Coturnix japonica: one gene and its partner. The protein of the gene in region 1 interacts with the protein of each later gene in a biochemical or structural test. Links are inferred from orthologs where the notes say so. Each region holds a gene or a part of one and is shown in the gene's direction. Other genes may lie near its edges.

The links. The genes of interacting proteins can lie anywhere in the genome.
Region 2: the proteins of MAP3K2 (region 1) and SMYD3 are reported together in a solved structure, tested with the Homo sapiens proteins (2 studies listed by BioGRID and IntAct, with this or other methods). The link is inferred for Coturnix japonica from reciprocal best matches to the Homo sapiens genes MAP3K2 and SMYD3.

What each region holds. Positions count from the first base shown.
Region 1 is NC_029522.1:23,180,216-23,187,032, reverse strand, and holds part of MAP3K2 (mitogen-activated protein kinase kinase kinase 2), read left to right. Parts: intron 1-130; coding exon 131-198; intron 199-1,442; coding exon 1,443-1,538; intron 1,539-2,450; coding exon 2,451-2,657; intron 2,658-3,322; coding exon 3,323-3,471; intron 3,472-3,696; coding exon 3,697-3,828; intron 3,829-4,222; coding exon 4,223-4,352; intron 4,353-5,338; coding exon 5,339-5,516; intron 5,517-6,095; coding exon 6,096-6,321; 3' UTR 6,322-6,817. UniProt on the Homo sapiens protein: Component of a protein kinase signal transduction cascade. Regulates the JNK and ERK5 pathways by phosphorylating and activating MAP2K5 and MAP2K7. Plays a role in caveolae kiss-and-run dynamics.
Region 2 is NC_029518.1:30,805,284-30,812,100, forward strand, and holds part of SMYD3 (histone-lysine N-methyltransferase SMYD3), read left to right. Parts: intron 1-3,956; coding exon 3,957-4,024; intron 4,025-5,530; coding exon 5,531-5,633; intron 5,634-6,817. UniProt on the Homo sapiens protein: Histone methyltransferase. Specifically methylates 'Lys-4' of histone H3, inducing di- and tri-methylation, but not monomethylation. Also methylates 'Lys-5' of histone H4.

The sequences.
Region 1 (6,817 bases):
AAGTTCCACATTTGCGAGCAGCAGCTTTATACAGTATAAAGCTTCCATCATCCATAAAGCATTGTAACACAGTGGGATCGTTTTGTTACGGTAGTTGCCATTTTAAAATACTTTGCTTTCACGTTTCTAGAGACAACTATCCCAAATCTCGGATGCCGAGAGCACAGAGCTATCCAGATAATCATCAGGAATTCTCAGGTAGGCAAAATTGGCTGGCCGTAATAGCTTTCCCAAGTACTTTCTCTTGCAAGTCATAGAACTTGAAAGGGAAGCTCATACTAAGAGGTGTTACCTTACACAAGCTTGTAATGGTAGTAGAAGACATAGCACCAAGGTGCAATCCAAATAGATACAGCGAAAGATGCAATTAGGTGTATCTTGTAAAGGTTTTCTTCAAGTTAATGTGTGTAACACCAGTGCTGTTGTGTTTAGTAAAACATACCTCTGATGCTAGAGGAAAAAAAACAAAGGCAAATAATGCATGGCCTAATGGCACACAGGTTGGTTAAAGTGAACTGCAGTGTCCATCTTTAAATGAGTACATAATCCTTCATTAATTTACTTCATGTTTCAGCTGCTGTTTCATCCTTTATGGAAAGAGAATCATTTTTAAGTGCTCATAACTGCTGTAACTGAAAGCATTCCAAAGTGCGAGCATGAAGGAGAGCAGTTTGCTGTGCCTATAAATTAATGAGTCATCACCACTAACATTGCTTTCATACCACACTCTGGCTTGAATCCAAATTGCTGTGCACGATTCAGGACACCAAGTGCAATGGGTGACCTTGAAAGTTTTTTCAGGTATCCTTATGGACGTGCTTCAATAGAACGTATTTATAAAATAATTTTGTCACCTCGCTATTTGTTGCTCTGTCTGCAGAGTTCATGTGCAGTTAAACTGCATGGGTTGTAGCCCAGATTCCTGTGGAACTACTCACCACTGCTGCCATCTTATATGCTCATTTTCTAACCAATTATTTATTCAGGAAGGAGTTTCCCCTTAAATATCAATACTTAATAAATCAGAAAGGAGAACTTATTGGCTGTGTTTTAGTAATTGAGGATGTGTTGACTCATTTATCAGCGTTCTGTATTTGCTCATTTTTCAGTTTTAGACTAAACTGAGGTTCTGTCACTTTTCCTGTTGAGCTGTTGTTTTCTAGTAGGTCTCTACTAACGCCTCTAGTAACAAGGCACGCTGCCATCCTCTGGTGCTGTTTTAAGCAGGAGATGGCAAACAATTTTTGTTAGATGATTGAAATCCTTCAGAGCTTTGAGTTAGATTTGTTGGTTTTGTGTGCATTTTGTTCTGTAATATTCTTTGCTCTGCAGTATTCTGTTTTCTGTTTTCTTCCCCATGTTTAAATGTACAATAGCAGAATGATTGACATGGAAGCCTTGGTTGTGTTTTTAACTGTGAAATGTTTCTCTGTATTTTCTAGTAGAGTACGATATCCCAATATTTGAGAAGTTTGGCAAGGGGGGAACTTATCCCCGAAGGTACCATATTTCATATCATCAACAAGATTACAACGACGGTAAGTGTGAATGCTGTAGGAGTCCTACATAATTAACTTGCTTTTCTCCTCTTCACAGCTAAAGAAGAAAATCTACCTGGTGAAATCTTAACGGTGCATGTACAACAAGTAACAAGTTACTCCTTTGTAACAGAGTTGAAAAATAAGTGCTGCCTGTTTGTAAAATTCAGTCTCACAAATATCTGTTTTGTTTCTCCTCAACTTTCTTCTATCAAACCTTGATACATTCCTTAAAATTTTTTTCAAGCATTTGTGCAAGGCCCTTATTTTTAGTTCTCTTCAGTCTCATGGCAGCCAAAACTTCATGAGCTGGATTGAGGAAACGTCCTCGTGAAATGGGTACATTGGATTAGCTATGTGTCAAATCAATTTTGGCTGCTTTATCACATAATCTTCTCAGTGATTTTATAACACTGCTCAATAATTTGTTCATGTATTTATCGCAGCACTGAAATTGGCCTGACTAGTGTGTAAATATGAGTCCACTCCTTCAAGACATTTCACTTGCCTTCTTCAGTCCTCTGGGAGCTCCATCTCTGGTGTAATACTTAATGACTCAGATATTCCTTTGGCAATTTATGCCGAAGCTCCCCGGGATGAAAATTCACCAAGTTGTGCTGACCTAAAAGTGTTTGTTATCTAAATATATTGATGTTATTCTAAGCATCTGGATGTAATTTACCTTTTTGAATATCAGTGTCCTTTTTTATTCCAATGCTGTCTCCATCGCTGAGTCATGCAGTGTTGATGATGTTTGTTTTGTGGTTTTCCTGTTGATTCCAAGGGTAGATCTTTATCTACTCAATTTTTTTTTTCTTACTTATTTTCTTTTAAAAATGAATATACCAACCTGGGCATCACTGAGATGTCAACTTGTAGTGTAACACTGGTATTCTCTGTGTAACACTGAAGGTCGTAAAACTTTTCCGAGGGCCAGGAGGACGCAGGGGAACAGCTTCCGGTCACCTGTTAGTTTCAGTCCCACTGATCACTCACTGAGCACCAGTAGTGGGAGCAGCGTCTTCACACCAGAGTATGAGGATAACAGAATGAGGAGGAGGGGGAGTGACATTGACAATCCTACCTTGACTGTCATGGACATCAGCCCACCCAGTCGCTGTAAGTTAAGGAACATTGTGACCTCTGCTGTAAAACTCTTACCTTTCAATGTGTCATGTCAAAACTAAGCATGTCATCCAAAGAAATGTGATCGAACTGTATGTTGTTCTCTCCCTAATAGGAAAAAGTCAAGAGTTCATGCTCTGTATTTTTTTCTTTGCTTGCTGTGCCAATCTGCATTTAGATTTTTGCATGGAATAAACATCTATGATAATAAATCACTATAGAAGTATTTTCAACATGTTAACCTTTGGAGGACATGAGAAGGCTTATGTAGGTTGGAGTAACTTGTTGGCCTTTGTTGGTATTGTATGACCGTGGAGGAGCAAATACACCTTGTGATGATTGCAGTAGTCAGCAGGTTTTGATTAGGCCTCCATTTTTAAAACAGTGTGACTAAGTTTGCTCAACGTGCTTTGTCTGTTTTGCAGCTTAGCTGTTACCAGCTGCATAAGTACGTGCATCTTTACTAGAAATTCATTATTTTGTAATAAACTTCCCATCTTACAGAAAGTTTTATCCATGTTTGTAAATTACATAGAGAAGTGTGATCTTCCATTGAAAAAGGTGGCCCTTGAAAAAGTTGTTTTCTATGCGTTGTTTTTTCCTTTAATCAGCTGAACAACAAGCTGACATTAAAACAGAAATCTTGTTTACCTTTTCAGCACCACGAGCTCCAACTAATTGGAGACTTGGCAAACTGCTGGGTCAGGGTGCATTTGGCAGAGTGTATCTGTGTTACGATGCTGATACCGGAAGAGAACTGGCTGTTAAACAAGTACAGTTTGATCCTGATAGTCCAGAAACCAGCAAGGTATGAGGTACAGTGCGAACGTGCTGCGACATAAGTTGAACTGTTCCTTCTTTGTTTTAATACACGTTTCCATGTTGTCATTAGGAATCCTGTTTTATTAATAATTGAAAAGAACTAATTTGGGAACCTGATTCCAGTGTCACACCACATTTTAAAATTATTGGGCAAATCCTCATTCAACGAATGTGTTTGATTTTGTTGTTGTTTTTTGCTTGTTTGGTTTAGGAAGTAAATGCTCTTGAATGTGAGATTCAGTTGCTGAAAAATCTGCTGCACGAGAGGATCGTTCAGTACTACGGCTTCTTGAGGGACCCACCGGAGAGAACACTCTCTATATTCATGGAATATATGCCAGGGGTAAGCGAGAAAACCCATCCACTCATCATTTCTATGTAGTGTGATAGGCACTCAAGTAGGCAGCTTTTACAGAAGGGCACACAGATATTAAGGAAATCCTGAATTAAAACAAAGCAATAGCTGGGTACCAACAGGTTTTTGTAGCAGTCCCTCCATGTCTCCTCCTTCATTTGCTTTTTCAGGATTGTTGTGGTTTGTGCAAAATGTCCTTCTGTGTCCTTTTCCTGTACAACACACTGTTGCTGTTTAGCTACTCGATAGTTTTAGAGTTAACGGCTTAACATTGTAGTGCGTGACTTCTCTGTTCAGCCTCTTATGTAAATGCTTTGTTTCTTTTTTTTAAGGGACACAAAACTACATCTACATTACAGTGTTCTGTGCTTGTTTGCCATAGGGTTCCATCAAAGACCAGTTAAAATCGTATGGAGCACTCACAGAGAATGTGACTCGCAAATACACGCGGCAGATTTTAGAAGGAGTTCTCTATTTGCACACAAACATGATTGTCCATCGGGACATTAAAGGTAAGGAGGGCAGTCCTGGGCACAGTTGGGTGCTGTTTACTTCAGATTCTTTTCCAGTCTTGTCAGCCAGGTGTGAATTGCTAAAACTTTGTTAAGTTTGAGATACCAAAATGCTGACTTTGATGGAAAGCCATAATGATTCTTCTACTTCTTGTTGCTGTTGTAAACTCAGGGTGTTCTAACAGACTTCTGAAAAGGTTTCCCTAGAGTCTGTCTGCAAAGCATTCATAATAAAATCTCCTTCTGAATTTAAGTAGCTTTGAATACACCAGGAGATCATTACAAGCGGTTGAAATATACAGAGGAAAGCATCAAGACATGAAACTATTAGTTGTCACTGAGTTTTGTTTCTATCAGCTACACAGAAACTGCAGCTTTTCACTATTCCAGAAATGCCTGGCAGAGGTGACTCCCCCGACCTCAGTGAGTCACACTGCTTGCACTCTTCTGCCAGGAAATCGATGTACTTCTTGCTGATAGATACAGAGGTCGTGTAAGAGCTGCAAAAGCAAGTTACAAATATGTAGGAAGATGGTGGTGATGTGCAAAATAGGTGTGTAGAACAGCCTTTGTATCCTCCAAAACTCTTAGGGATTTCCTTTTGCTTTATATGAGCAATGTATTTCCTCCCCCAGAATGGGGAAAGGTGATGTTTTTGTTATGCAGGTAAGTATTGTAAGCAAGTCTACAACACAGTCTGAGATTTTGCTTTAGTACCATATTGAGGCCTTTTCTGTAGTGTGAAAAGAGAAATTCCTATTTCAGGTTGCTGCCCTCACATGGCGTGTTTCTTTATCAGCAGGGTTTTACAAAGTAACTGAAGCTTTCTGGGGAAGGCCTAGGATGCAAAAGGCAGATAACAGTTCATTTTACTCAACCTCCAAACAGAGGAATGAGCAGAGAAATTCTCTGGGAGCACCAGAACTGAATCTGAAGCTTTTTTTAATGCTGCTTTCTACACCAAAGCTGCATTCTTTTCCTTCCAGGAGCAAATATTCTGCGAGATTCAGCGGGCAATGTGAAGCTGGGTGACTTTGGTGCCAGCAAACGACTGCAGACCATCTGTATGTCTGGGACTGGGATGAAGTCCGTCACAGGAACTCCATACTGGATGAGTCCAGAAGTTATCAGTGGAGAAGGGTACGGCAGGAAAGCAGATATCTGGTATGTTACAAAACTTCTCTAACAAAACTCATGATTTCAGAACGGGTGGTTTCTCAGCAGAATGTGAGTGTTTGTCACCTGAAGTTGGAGTGTTTTATTCTGAGGTTTAAGCTGAAGAGATAACACGTGAGAGCACTGGCAATCCTATTTACGCATTTGGAGAGTGTAACACTGAAATGTTGGATCTGTTGCTTTGGCATTTCATGAGCCCATTGGTTTAGTGATCACAAGAGAATTCTTTGAAGCAACATTGCATGAAGGGCTGTGTCAGCCTGCTGAGCACTGAGATGTCAATCAGGATAGTGGCCATCACACAATCAATAGTGCCGAGATAAATACCTCCTGAGTTCTTCGCTGAGGTACCAGCTTTTGGCCCAGTGAGGCAATGCATTGGAGATGCACGGGTAGTGATTTGCTTAACGCAGTGACAGTGAAGAGCTGCTTTCCATCAAAGCTGCATTGTAGAGATAAGTGGACGCTGCTTCTTGTGGTACTTCAGAATCTACTTGATATTGCTTGTGTTCCTAGAAGAGCGCAACTCTGTTGTAACCTGCTGTCTCACTTTTGCCTCTGTTTCAGGAGCGTAGGTTGTACAGTGGTAGAAATGCTCACTGAGAAGCCCCCGTGGGCAGAATTTGAAGCAATGGCTGCCATCTTTAAGATTGCCACTCAGCCAACCAATCCCCAGTTACCACCTCATGTCTCAGACCATGCTCGGGATTTCCTGAAAAGGATTTTTATCGAGGCCAAGCTGCGACCATTTGCAGATGAACTGCTAAGACACACGTTTGCACACTATCACTAACAGCCTGCCTCAACTCAGCTTGCGTCTGCTGCGTTTATTTTCTATTTGACTGCACTTTTATTTTTTATTTTTTACAAAAAGGAGAAAAAAAGACAAGAGAGAGAAGGCGTTCTCTTGAATCTTTGTTTCACTTAGATTGTAAGCAATCTAAATTTTGTATCTAAAATGAGAATCTTCCCTTCCCTGCTCCCACCGGGACTAGAACTCCTTGTTTCTATAATGTACTGATGTGGTTCATGTAGATAAAGCACTTTAGTACATATTTGCTCCTTATTTAAAGAGGGAAAAATAATAGAAGTGATTGGACAGTCAGGAACTGTGTGTTTTTTTTTCCGACACCGCTGACTGACTCAGGGTGCAGGGAAAACAGACATGCAGCCAGGGGACGAGAAGGTTACTCCTCTGTGATCCATTGTTACGTTACAGGTACTTGCAGCGGAGAGTTCTAAGTTCTTATATGTTAGCAGTTTAATGAGTTTCTGCCTTGTGTAATTTA
Region 2 (6,817 bases), on another chromosome or scaffold:
CTCCTCTGTCAAATAAAAACACCAGAATAAGTCTTCATGTCTCTCTTCTGAACTGTGGGTCTGAACACAGGAATTGCTCAGACAGTAGCTCCAAATGTCCTGAGAACAGAGACCTCCTATGAAGTAAATTACTGAGTTCCCATGTGCCATTCAAAGAAGAAATAAAACGTAACAAAATGAAGCAAGTTATATTTGCTGCTGATAAATTGTGTTTGAGAGTAGTGGTCAGTTGGACTATGCTGTGTCTCCACTGGTTTGGGAAAGATTGTCTTCTTTCTGGGCTACCTTACTGAGTACAGAATGCCTCTCTAAAACACGTACAGTCTCTTAAAAGAGCAAGTTCTTTTATTTAAATCCATCAGTGTATGTAATATTGTTTGTTGTTTGACATAGCAGTTCCTTTTAAATAAACTTGCAAGATTTATTGCCACAGTGCAAACTCAAGCACTGAGGACTGATAGTTTAAATTGTCAGTGAATTCTATGGCCAATCAGTCTACGATGTGAAGTCTTGAGAACTATAGGAGAGTCCTAAAAAAACACGTTGCCCTGTGGAGACTCAAAAAGTCTGTGAATCTTCTGTGAGAATTTTTCCTCAGTTCTCATACTGGGAAATGTGTTATTTCAGAAAATTTAGAAGTGACAGAGGAATTTGACTATTCAGCTTTGAAGTTCTGAAGTATGTGAACATTTTTCCTTATTTGTGGGTATGACAAACTCTGAATACTCTGTTCTGTCTCTATATGTGAATATGCAGTTATAGGGCTATGGCACTGGACAGAAAAGAATGTTTAGAGGAATCAGAAGGGACAGGTTGAACTGAAACATAAATTAAATAACCAAGATAAATGATGCTGCAGGAGTTAAGATGACAAAGGCTACGTGTCTGTAGGGAAGAAACCATATCCTCAAGCAGCAACTTACCCTGAGTTGTTTATTCTTCCTTATTTTAAAATCTGGGTTCACAAAGAATCACAACCTTGAAGATCGTTTTACTGGGAGTACGATGCATCTGTTAAGACAGAAATAAGGCTATACAGGATGATTATGAAACCTGACAGAAATACACATGAGAAAGGCATTGCTTGTTTGATTTTATTCTTCTTGGGGTTTTTATTTGTTTTTGTTCTTTTTTTCTTGGATGTGGAGTCAGTTGACTTTTAGGTACAGCAGGTTTTGATCAATAACTGATTTCTTCATCTTATTTTGGAATAGGCAGTGTCCAGTGTGCTCTTCTCAGCAATGTTGGAAACTGCAGTTCATCTGTCTGAGCAACACTGAATCCCAAGAATCTAGAAAATGGATTTTTCTTCAGGATTTGTGTAACAGAAATTCCTCTTACTCTTGTTTCAAGCAAGGCATGGCCTACAACCTTAACTCCTCTGTTGAACTGTAACCACAGCAGTCCCCTTGTCAGGGTTCATCTGTAACTTTGGGAGATAAGAAACCTCTTAAAAGTGTATGTGAACAGAAATATAGGGGATATTCAGAAGATTCTTAGGAACTTCGCAACAAATCAAAAAGGAAACAAACAACTGAACCCTCTGTTGATGGACTTTGACAGATTTCATTTATCTATTGCCAGTTGCAAACTGTCAGTGGAGACTAACATATATCAGAATTTCAAATGCCATAGGTGATATTATTTCTCACTACTGTCTCATGTTCTCTCTCTCCGCTTGCAGACAGAAAGCAACCACAACAAAGGGCAGCATCTGTATTGCATTTTGCATGGGCATCACTGTCTAATTTTCTTCCATACTTGAATTTAACAGCGGGGAAAGATTGTCTGCTAGGAGGCTAATCTGGTCAGACTATGAGCAAAATGATGTAGCCTAAAATTCATAGGAGCAGTTAGACTTCTGTCTGTGTTGAGGTACCTACATGCCTTTCTAAATGTGACTCTGAATGCTTCTGATTCCCAGTTTCATATTGGAAACTGCAAATAATTTGAAATTAGATGGTATTCCACTACTTCATTAGGATATTGGGATGCAACTGCATACCATGAAAACATCTAAAACAGGGAGGTTAATAAGTGCCTCACAGAGAGCTGCTGTTGAAAGACAGTCTTGATATCTGAATCTCAGAGCATCCGTTCATTTCATGTTTTTCTTTAAGTATGCCCTATAAAAAGCAAAAAGTGAAAATGTTGTGATTTCTGTGTGTGAAACTTTTTCACATGGTAGAATATGTACCTTTACTAGAAAATAATGGAATTGTCTCTATAACTCTACAGTGATCAAAATTCCATATTGTTAAATATAAACAGTTTTATGGTAATAGTAGGAGATTTGCAAGGAAGGGGGATTCATTTACTTCTAAGAAATGTCTGACCTCTGCTACTTCATAATCCACTAGAGAGAGCTAAGGTCCACATAAGCTGGCTTTCTTTCTCTTTTACCTGGAAGGCATTATTTTTTCAATAAATACCAAAATCAAGTCAATATTTTTAGAGCTAGTTTAATTGCCACTTGAAATAGTCTAATCTTTGCTCTGAAGTTGTCTGATACTTTGTATCCAATGCCAGTTGGACAAAAATAATTAAGATGTATGTATTTGATAATTTAAGAGGAACATTTGAATGGGTTATATAAATAATAGACTAATCATAGAGTTGTCTAACCATTTAAAATAACATAAACCCTACTGCATATACTTTTATTTGAATTAATGTTGCTGTCAGAATTTATGAGAGATTTTTGAAAAAGGATTTCATTCTCACCTTATGGTTAATGCTCTCATAAATAATAATTTGTCAATTCTGTAAGACAATATGTACTATTAAGTTGTTCAGTGCACCTCTTTGCAATAGAGGTGCAAATTTAATATTCTGTGTAATTGCTCAGAATAAAACTGCAACTTTCCAGTCTCATTTTCAGAACTGCCAAATCATACTCTAACTCTCTAACTTTTTTTTTTTTTTTTTTTTTTTTTTTTTTTTTTGATTTTTTTTTTTTTTTTTTTTTTTCCTAAAGAGAATAAATGGCATTTAATGTTATGTAGAACAGACCTGGGACTTTTCTTTTATATGCAGTCTTTTTCTGCATAAAGTATTGTGTGAGTACGTCATTGATAACTGACCAACAAACAGTAAAAATACAAACAACGTTAAAAGAAACAAACAAACAAAAAAATTCATGTTTTGCCCCCAAAACCAATCTGATATATTAAAGGTCTATTAGGAGTTGTATTCTAAGTTGAACACGATGACTCCTGTTTGTTATTTTGCAGTTTGACTCTATCTCCTTGCACAGAACTTTTATTCTTTTCTACTCCTGTGTAAAGCTACTTTAAGTTTGTATGAGTGAGAGGGAAGATACATATCTAGTGGAATATTTGAGATGAAAGTTTATATTTATCTTTAATTACAGTTTGAAATTTGTTTTATGTGATCTTGTATATACAAACCAAAATATCCAGAGAGCAAACAATGGGGAACTGTACCGTCTTTGTATGTATTTGTGCCTGTATCACATTGGCGACAGTCAAGGCTGCTCTCTACTTTAAAACTGACACAGCTATATTTGTTGGGCTCCAGTAGCACTCATTAAAATGTCTGTGACAGCCTGGCATCAGTAGAATATTGACATGGAAGCAGCCACTTCTTTTCATCTGCTGTCACTGTCACCTGCTCTGTAGTCTTCAGGCTGAGCTTCTCAGACTCTGTGTAGGGTATTTTTTTTCTCCCTCTGGACAGGAAAGTAGGGCCTCTGCATGTGTTTAACCCCACATTTTTGCAGGATACTATTATTTCTGCTTTAATTGACGGCAGTTTTACAGGAGAGTGTGTCCCAGATGTGATTACTCCTAAATGAAAGAGCACCAGTGTTGGACTTGAATGTTTCCCATCCAATTACCAGCTGCCCCTTCATTTTATTTTGGAAGATTTTTCACTTGAGTGTGGGGTTTCCAAATGAGTCTGGTAATCCTGGATTTTTTCCGTTGTTTTTACAGGTGACCTGTAACTGTTTCACCATCAGTAATGGAGAGATGCAGGATGTTGGTGTTGGCCTATATCCCAGGTACCATGGACACTGTTTCATTCACAGGCAAAATCTATGTTAGGTTTTTCTTTTTTCCCTCTTTTCCGAGGTAGCTATAAGCACCATCAAAGCAGGTAACATGTTTAAACAAGAAACTGGCAAATGCAAATAAATTAGAAGAGAATAGAAAGCAGTCATCAAATTGAAAGCATTCTTAGAAGGTTCTGATTACACAGTTAAATAGGATGTGTCTTCATACCTTATTTTTATGGAGATTGTAGTCATTTTTAAGTAACAATAAATGCTAACATTATAAACATGTTACTAAGGCTTCCTAAATAATTGAAAGGAAATATGTTCTGTGCTGCTTTGAAGGATACATATTTTGCAACCAAGAGCCTTCTAAATTGGCAATTAAAAGAAAAAGATTGAATGTGTTTATTAGTTAATTACCATACCTAAGAAAGTAAGGCAAAAAGGTAAACCCCTTGAAAAATGGGTATTCAGATTCTTGTTTGTATTAGTTAATAAATATGTAACAGGTAAGGCTTTGCCTTCATAGAATTCTGTTACTGTAACTATCAGTGGTGAACATGAATAACTGAACATTTTACCTTACTATATTAATTTATTTGTGTGAATCTAGGGTTGATTTGTATTGTCAGAATCTAAAGGGGCCTGTTGCTATTGTTTCTTTCTCTACTAATGTCATATGTGCAAGATTTGACTAACGGCACGATCTTGAGGCCTGCTTCGTGATAAAAATAGGAGAAGAACTGCTATGAGGACAGAGAAATTAATGTTATGAAAAGCACAGGACAGTCATCTGATTTCAGAGGGAAATGGAAACAAATCTTTTCATATACTTTGGGGAAAATGAACCTTATTTTGGAGCATTATTATTAGTTAAAAGCTTTCTAAAAAGCTTCTGCCTGGTAAGGAAGTTGCAGTGTTCTTTAATGGTGCCTTGCAAAAGGGTGCTAAAGTTTTTTTTTTCCAGTTTAATTCAGAGCAGATGTAATTTTGCTGTTTCAAATCACTATGAGTTGGGAAAATTGTGAATTTAAGTCCGCATCCTCCACACGTGTGCCCCGGTGGCGCAGTGGTAGCAATGCCGCCTTGCAACACCAGGGCCCGGGGTTCGAATCCCCCGTGTGGCGCAAGTGGTAGAAGTGCCGCTCTGCAGCACATAGGCTCGAATCCCGGGAGTTGGACTCGATGATCTCTAAGGTCCCTTCCAACCCGCACGAGACTATTACTTATTACTTATTACTTATAGTTCCCAAATCCTTGGCAAGTGCCCTTCCATCCAGAGTTTAAGGAAGGCAGATTCAGACATGGCTTCTGTTTGAAGATAGACATTGGTAAACAATAACTTTTCTCCCCTAACCAAGAGCAGCTCATCTACCAGGGATTTTATTTATTGATAACTTAATTGCTTGATATTTAAGATGTAATATAGTTAGCTACTTCCAAATTATGTCCACAGTAATGACAGTATATTAAAGTTTTTTTTTCTTTCTCTCCCTTTACCACCTCTCACAGCATGTCTTTGCTGAATCACAGCTGTGACCCAAACTGTGTGATCGTTTTTGAAGGATACCAGCTTTTACTTCGCTCCGTCCGAGAGATCCAGATTGGCGAAGAGGTAATTAACTTGTCCTCTCTTCCATCACAGACACCTGCAACAATGACATCTCCCTAAATAAATTCCAGACTGCAGGGCCACCAGCTTAATATTTTGATGATATATTGGTGCCAATTTTTAGCACGTAGCTATCAGGGAGAAAATGATTAATAGAATCATCTCTTCACACTGCCTGGGCCCCATAATCATTACTTCCCATAAATCACTAGCAGTCTTGATAAATTCTTGTTTCTCCTTTCCTCCTCTAGGCACTTCATTTTGTTTGTGTTTGAATGTCTTTACCCTGATGGAAACACTTAGAATATTTGAGTGGAATGTAGTGTTCACCAAATCGTTGCAACAATAAGCATTTGTCAGGCTGCAGCTATGCTATAGTAGTAAACCTGTAATTGGCAGCAAAAGTAGCAATGCCAGGTTTGTTTTCTTGACATTTCAGTGGGAAAAACTTCAAAATACTTCTCACAAGAGATTTCAGATTCCAAATTATTCACAGCTTTGTTTTTAAGACAGCATTTGTTTTTATTTTGAAAGCAATTCATTTGTGGCTAAATAAGAATTTAGATGTAAATGTTTGTCAGAGAAACGCAGTGCAGAATTTGTTTAGTAAAGCCTGCGAAGAGGAAATATATAAGTAAATTGCTATGTAACAATGACCTATGCAGTTCTAGCCCTTAGTTATTTTATAATCATGACCTCTAGTAAATACGGTTTGCATCAGTGCTTTGATGACTAGGAAGTTCAAGGACTTACATATTATAATTGGGGAGCAGTATCTCTTCCTCCCTATAAATAGTTGTTGATCTTTTTGTTTTAATCCATCCGTTCTCTATGATCAAAATATGTAAATGGTGAAATTTATGTTTAGGCAAAATACTGTAGAGAGCTAACACCAAGCTTTTGCTTGCTTACTTTTTCTGATGAGAAATTTTATAGGATGCAATATATTTTCACGGAGCCGGTGAGTGTAGCCATTACTTTGTCTGGCAATCTTGTTCAAGCCAAGTTATATGTACTTATAAACACTATTCATTTATCTTGACTTACTGATTCACAAAGATGGGTTATGTATTTAAAAATACAAACAGGCTGTAGTGTCTCCCCAGGGTGTTAGTATGTTAGTATATGTTAGTATATTTGTGCCTCAGTCATACTTTAGAGGATTGATGCTATACACAATAATTATA